2 linked regions of the Saccharomyces cerevisiae S288C genome follow. Each later gene encodes a partner of the first gene's protein in a complex. Each region holds a gene or a part of one and is shown in the gene's direction. Other genes may lie near its edges.

Region 1 (4,199 bases):
AGTAAATTTTGGAGACCCAAATGGAACGGACGAGTCGATTTCTTTGGTGACGTTATCTCTGATCACATAAGCAAAGGATTCCACGTTATCGCAATTTTGAGAGTTTAAAATCTCATTGTTTAGGCATTCCATACTCTGACACAATTGGAAGCTCAAGTCCTTTAGATAGTCTCTTTCACAAATCTTGTTGAAGTCCGGATCACAGACAATTACAATTAAAAAATCATCAAAGTACCAAAATAGGCAATTATAAAAATCCTCCTTGTCTTTGGAGTTTTCAAAGTTCAAATTCAGTTTCAGGGCTTGGTATGATGATGGCAACAGGTCTGAATTCAATGGGGAAATTAGGAAACCAAATCTCGAGTTGCCTATCGTCCCTCCAACAGCCTCTGATTGCGCCATCAGTGGGGCATTCGAATTTGCGTTATCATTGCTATTTGAGTAATTATTTTTGTCGGCACTTTTGTTAGAGGATGAAATGAACGGCCAATGGGGCTTCGGTACATAGTCCATTATCATGGATAAGCTACCCGAAACACCAGTCGTGGTACTCACTTCATGTATAGCGTCGTATGCAAAAGAAATGGGGAGTGTTACGTTGTGTATCACTCTTTCCGATAGAGAGAGTTCGCTTGTATTGTTTTGCGTAGTCTCTTGGTGCTCCCGTCGCTGTTGCTCCTGTGATTCCTCTTCGTCTCTTCCGTTTGTATCACGACTTCGCTCTTGTTCTTCTTCTACTTGTAGCTCCTCTTTAAAATGGACATTTCCTGTTAATATATGACTTGATATTTCACCATAGGTGCAGTGCAAATGATATAGCCAATTTGAGATATCTGGTAATGTGTTCAGGTCACTGGTAAAGTTCCTTACTAGTCCATAAGTTTTTGTTCCCATAGACTCCCTATTAGCCGCTTTGGTGCGCTTTGGTAGGTGGTAAACCAAAATGTCCTTTAGTCCTAGATAACTCTTTTTATCTAAAAGAATATTCTGCAAGATTATAGCGTCCCATGACTCTTCGACATTATTTTTTTCTCCAGGATTATAAGAGGAATGTTGAAAATTTGCCCTTTTATAAAAACCAGGCCACATTACAGTAAATGATCTATTCGTTACAGTTTCTAGATTCAAATAAATATCATTCCAGAACGGAATAACGAATTCGTTCAACAAATCCGTGAGTTTGCGGAAGTCCTTGTTAAATCCGCTGAATGACCCATTGAGTAGCTTGAAGAACCTGTAACTAAGCCATAAGTAAGCACTGAGATACTGTAAAGGTATGGCACTCTGATCGTCGCTGATATTCGAAATTGCTAGACTGATGAAAAATCTTGATTCCACCTTAATACAAAAAATAATATCATTGTTCAGCTCAATAATTTTCTCTAAATCTTCGCCGTCCTTGTTTACGCATGAACTCGTAAGTGACCAAATGCCCTGTATTACTCCTATGATGGACAGTTTTTCGTTTAAAGAGGGTATTGAATCAGTAGTGCCAAAATAATGGAACAGCAGCAACTGCTTGAAAGTGTCATTTTCGTTGGTAGATCTTGATGGATCAAAAACCGTAATATAGTGTAGTCTCATATCCGTCTTTCATATATCAATTTAATAGTTGTACGATTTAGAATGTATTTTTGGTTCCACGTCAAATGAAACTATTTCCCTATTGCTACTACATATTATTGTCATCGCAATAAAATAGGCTAAATAGTTACCCGCTCGTTTCGTCTTTTGTTCGGGCGAGAGCTTCATTACTAACTACTATTGCATTTTGTTTATTGATTTGTTGCCATGAGTAGCAGCAGTCTGAAGGGGTTACCAAACGTTAGCTCGTCTATCAAGCACGCCAAGGTTCAACGACACTACTTTTGTGTAAGATGTCGGACCAGGATAATACCCAGACTTCTTCAAGCAAGTTGGCACCTCACCATAATATTTTTATGGCAAACTTGGAAAGTTCCCCCACAAAAGATAGAAATACCTCCAGCCAAAATGCCTCATCTTCGAGAGTCATTGAATCACTGCATGACCAGATTGATATGCTGACAAAAACAAATCTACAATTGACTACGCAATCTCAAAATTTATTGAGTAAATTGGAATTAGCACAATCCAAAGAATCAAAACTACTGGAAAATTTAAATCTGCTGAAGAACGAGAACGAAAATCTCAACTCGATATTTGAAAGAAAGAACAAGAAGCTAAAAGAGCTAGAGAAAGATTATAGCGAATTGAGTAACCGTTACAATGAACAAAAGGAGAAAATGGATCAATTGAGTAAATTGGCGAAAAATTCTAGTGCCATTGAACAATCTTGCTCTGAAAAATTGCAAAATATGGAAGTTAACTATAATTCATTATTGGAGTCACAAAATCTTTACAGAGACCACTATTCTGATGAAATTTCCAAATTAAATGAAAAAATCGGTTTGTTGGAGTTAGAGTTAAGTAATCAAAATTTAAATTATGGTTCAGATACTAGTTCAAATTCAGATATAGAATTGAATTTAAATAAATTCAATGACTCTGTGAAAGATTTGAAATCTCTGGAAACAGAAAAGGATTCAAAATTAAGCAAGATAATCACTCACTCTTTAGATGAGTTAAATCTACAAAGCTGGCTAAATCTGTACCAGACGAACGAAAATCTGATATCAACTTTTGCTGAAAAGATGGATTTGAAAGACGTCTTGAAAAGAAACGATGAGAAGATTAGTAATAAAGGCGCGGTAGTACAAACCTTGAAGAAGAATGTACAAACCCAGGTGGAAAGCAACAACGCTGACGCTTTGAGTAGCAATAATGCACAGGATATGCTTCCTATTAAGATGGTCAAATTAAGAAAGACGCCGAACACAAACGATTCATCCTCCAATGGTAATAGCAGTAACAATAAAAGAAGAAGTTTCTATACTGCGTCGCCTTTGCTGTCATCGGGTTCTATTCCAAAATCTGCATCCCCGGTTTTGCCTGGTGTTAAAAGAACTGCCTCAGTAAGAAAACCAAGCTCGAGCAGTAGTAAAACAAATGTAACGCATAATAACGATCCAAGTACATCTCCCACAATCTCAGTGCCTCCCGGTGTTACAAGAACTGTTTCCTCCACTCATAAGAAAAAGGGAAATAGTATGGTTGTTCACGGGGCCCAATCCTAGAATATGCCGACACAAGGGAGTATATATATAGGATTCATTTAGATAATAGAACAAAAGTAAATAGATGCCTCTAAGGTTTTATAGACACGAATCCATATTTTTCACTTTCGGTCACTCACAACGGTTTTTTCTCTACTATAATGTGGCTGAAATTAAACGAACAGGCCAAAATGTGGTACGCAATAGTAGCCAGTAGGTGAATTAACCATAAATAATTACGCTAATTTTGCCTTGGTAAATTTCATAAGACCAATGATAGCAGGTGCGACTGCTCCGTCAAGTCAGCATGAAATTTTGATCGCATCGAATCTCATCAAGAAGCCATCAACGTCTCAAAATAAAACGCCGACAGCTCAATCCAGTTCAGGTAACAATGGAGCTGCTGATGGTGCACCGCAGGGTTACCATCATCACCATCATCACCATCGTCATTTATGGTGGCCTCGGACAACAGACCATCAATATTGGTGTGTCTTGAGGAAAAACCAATTTGCCTATTACAAAACTCGGGATGAAAGAGAGGCTATAAGTGTCATACCGAGATTTGACATACTTAATTTTAAGATAAGCGAGCTCGATGGTATATTAACTGTTTATACTCCATCCAAGGATTTAATATTCAAATTTCCACGAGGGCAAAATGAGAAGGTTGGTATGGAACTGATGCATAATTGGAAAATTGCCCTTGAAAAATTCCTCTCTAGTCCTAGTGGCAACGAAAGTGTCACTACAGGTAGTGATTATGATGAAGAAGAGGATGATGATGATTTAATTGTAGTTGACGAAAAGGCGGGTCCTTCTAGCAGCAAGCATTCTTGCAGTTTGACGATGGATGAGCAACTGTCTCGTGAAGATAAAGAATTTTATAGGATGTTCGATCCAAGAAATGCAGAGCACCAGGTTTGTTCTGGGATTCTTTACACAAAAGTGAAAAAGAAGAAACTGTTCAATAGGGCTAAATGGCAAAAGTTCAATGTGGAATTGACTAATACTTCGTTCAATTTATACTCTTTCAAGACTGGGAAGTTAAAGAAAAGCATTAAA
Region 2 (3,012 bases), on another chromosome or scaffold:
CCTGCAATGAGTCTAAAACGAAAGGATCGTACATCAGAAGACAGGTAGGAATTAAGGATAAAGTTGTTTTTTCGATAAAGGGGGAATGCCTGCACTCTAAATTTGGCAGATCAGCTCAAAGATTGAAAAAAGTGTTTATCTTAACAAAAAAGACATTTTATATTATTGGACAAACACGGGAACAGAATGCTATGAAATATACACAAGATTATAAAATTGATGTCGGTAAAATTAAACAAGTGAGCTTAACAAACCTCCAAGACGATTGGATGGGCGTTATCCTTGTTAATAGTACACAATCCGATCCACTCATTAACACGCCTTTCAAGACGGAATTAATGACACGTTTGAAAAAATTAAATGAAAAGATAATGATAAAAGTTGGTCCCACGATTGAGTATCACAAACAACCAAACAAGTTGCACACTGTCCGCTCAAAGATAAGCGATTCAGCACCGAAATACGGTGACATCTACAAGTCAAGTACAATATACGTGCGTCGTGGACACCCTGCTAACTCCAAATCGAATAAAAAACCTAAGAATCCAGGTGGGTTGAGCGGGAAACCTATCAAAAGCAAAAAGAGTAAACACAAATCTACTCATAAGCATACACATAGCCATAGAAGTCATAGGGATGCTGCAAAAAAGCAACCTCTCCCTTCGCAAAAACCTGTGAATCCGTTATCTTTGGCAGCTACCGCTGCACAGGCAGCATACAATCCTAAACCGGATAAGACCGTACCAATAAAGTCATCTGCAATCCCTGCTGCAAAAGTAAGCTCGAAACACAGCTCAAAACCCTCATCGAAGGAAAAAGTCGCAGTAAAGAAAGCCTCCTCAAGCCACAAATCCTCATCCGCCAAGCAAAACCAGGTATCGATGCCACCTTCAAAAGGGGTTGAAAAAAATAAAGAACCGTTAAAGGAGACAACTGCAACTGCAACTGCAAACATACCAATACCACCACCCCCTCCCCCCATGGGCCAACCAAAGGATCCGAAATTCGAAGCTGCATACGACTTTCCAGGTTCCGGATCATCTTCGGAGTTGCCATTAAAAAAGGGCGATATTGTATTTATAAGCAGAGATGAACCTAGTGGTTGGTCTTTAGCAAAGCTTCTCGATGGAAGCAAAGAAGGTTGGGTTCCTACTGCTTATATGACTCCTTATAAAGACACAAGAAATACGGTGCCTGTTGCAGCGACAGGGGCAGTGAATGACGTTACAAATCAGAAATCAAGCCAAATCGACAATACCATTTCAAGTGCACAAGAAGGTGTACAGTTTGGAAGTGCAACAGTTGGACCCACTAGTGATAATCAGAGTAATCCGGTGGGGACGTTTAGCGACGGTTTAGCTTCTGCATTGGCAGCAAGAGCAAACAAAATGCGGGCGGAAAGTGCTGACGATGATGATAATGACGATGGCGATGATGATGATGACTGGTAATTAACATGAATATATAGATGTTTAGTCTCTTATAGAATGGTTCTTCGTGCATGCCTCTTAACATACCAAAAGTGCATTACATATACTTTTAAACATACTCTCGCAGAAAGTTAAAGTCCCTTTTTTTTTTTTTTTTTCATTTTTTGTTTGTATTTTCCCGTTTTGAAAAACTCCCACTTTAATGCAGGACATCGTTCAAAACAAGCTTTAAAGATTTGACAGTAAAATCCTCACTTTACTCAAGACATTTTTCTCAAAAAAAGAGAAAGCACAGTAAACCCTCCTTAATTTTCCTTTTGCATAATACCAGACACTTAAAAATGAGCAAAGACAAAGATATCAAAGTCACTCCTGGAACTTGTGAATTAGTTGAACAAATACTCGCCTTACTCTCCCGGTATCTCTCATCTTATATTCACGTGCTGAACAAGTTCATCAGTCATTTGCGAAGGGTAGCTACGCTACGATTCGAGAGAACTACTTTGATTAAATTTGTTAAGAAATTGAGATTTTACAACGATTGTGTGTTAAGCTATAATGCATCAGAGTTTATCAATGAAGGTAAAAACGAATTAGACCCAGAGGCGGATTCGTTTGACAAGGTAATTTTACCAATAGCTTCAATGTTTGTTAAATGTGTTGAAACGTTTGACTTACTGAACTATTATCTAACGCAGTCATTACAAAAGGAAATTTTATCTAAAACTTTGAACGAGGACCTAACGCTAACAGCAGAGTCCATATTAGCCATTGACGATACCTACAATCATTTCGTGAAATTTTCTCAATGGATGATTGAGTCTTTGCGTATAGGCAGCAACCTGCTAGATTTAGAAGTTGTTCAATTTGCCATTAAATGCGCAGATGAGGACGGAACGAATATCGGAGAAACTGATAATATCTTCTTGCAGGAGATTCTTCCTGTCAACTCCGAAGAAGAATTTCAGACCTTGTCAGCTGCGTGGCACTCCATTTTAGATGGTAAGCTGAGCGCCTTGGACGAAGAATTTGATGTTGTCGCTACTAAATGGCATGACAAATTTGGTAAATTGAAAAACTGAGGCCTTCAGTTTTTAGCTCAAAAAGAGCAAATAAGTACCACTAGTTAATAGAACATATATATATACATGAATAGCCTCATCACATAGCACAGAAAGTAAGCTTTCAAAACACTGATGATCGGCTCTTATTCTGGCGTACTCATTTTCAGCATCTCAAACCGCGCTGTTTTTTTCTCACTTTTTGATACAATAGGTATGCAAAGGAGAATGGCAGGTGTGCCAAGGAAAAAAAATATGAGGAACTATAGCCTAAAATGAAGCCTCCTCTGATGTGGGAGGGACCCCAATTTAGGTCAATAATGATTTTTTAAATTTATATTCTTGTCTTAATGAAACTTGAGTCAAGTCGACCAGTTTCCTGACGATTTTGATATAGAATAATATTGCTCGTTTGGCCGGCAACAGATTACATAAGAAGCAGATGGATGATATAAGCGGAAGGCAAACTTTACCTCGAATAAACCGTTTGTTGGAGCACGTGGGAAATCCCCAAGATAGTT

Evidence for each region.
Region 2: the proteins of SHE3 (region 1) and SHE2 are in contact, whole or in part, in a crystal structure (PDB 4WNL), measured with the Saccharomyces cerevisiae proteins. Residues at the interface, in NP_009688.3 of Saccharomyces cerevisiae: Val363 (codon at 2,964), Leu364 (codon at 2,967), Pro365 (codon at 2,970), Gly366 (codon at 2,973), Val367 (codon at 2,976), Lys368 (codon at 2,979), Arg369 (codon at 2,982); in NP_012792.1 of Saccharomyces cerevisiae: His150 (codon at 2,219), Lys153 (codon at 2,228), Trp157 (codon at 2,240), Glu190 (codon at 2,339), Thr191 (codon at 2,342), Ile194 (codon at 2,351), Gln197 (codon at 2,360), Glu198 (codon at 2,363), Ile199 (codon at 2,366), Leu200 (codon at 2,369), Leu211 (codon at 2,402), Ala214 (codon at 2,411), Trp215 (codon at 2,414), Ile218 (codon at 2,423).

What each region holds. Positions count from the first base shown.
Region 1 is NC_001134.8:494,548-498,746, reverse strand, and holds SHE3 (She3p), read left to right. Parts: upstream 1-1,877; coding exon 1,878-3,155; downstream 3,156-4,199. Other genes in the region: CCZ1 (Ccz1p), read right to left, coding at 1-1,584; OPY1 (Opy1p), read left to right, coding at 3,408-4,199. UniProt on the Saccharomyces cerevisiae protein: RNA-binding protein that binds specific mRNAs including the ASH1 mRNA, coding for a repressor of the HO endonuclease. Part of the mRNA localization machinery that restricts accumulation of certain proteins to the bud and in the daughter cell.
Region 2 is NC_001143.9:194,788-197,799, reverse strand, and holds SHE2 (She2p), read left to right. Parts: upstream 1-1,771; coding exon 1,772-2,512; downstream 2,513-3,012. Other genes in the region: MYO3 (myosin 3), read left to right, coding at 1-1,451; RMA1 (putative tetrahydrofolate synthase), read left to right, coding at 2,934-3,012. UniProt on the Saccharomyces cerevisiae protein: RNA-binding protein that binds specific mRNAs including the ASH1 mRNA, coding for a repressor of the HO endonuclease. Part of the mRNA localization machinery that restricts accumulation of certain proteins to the bud and in the daughter cell.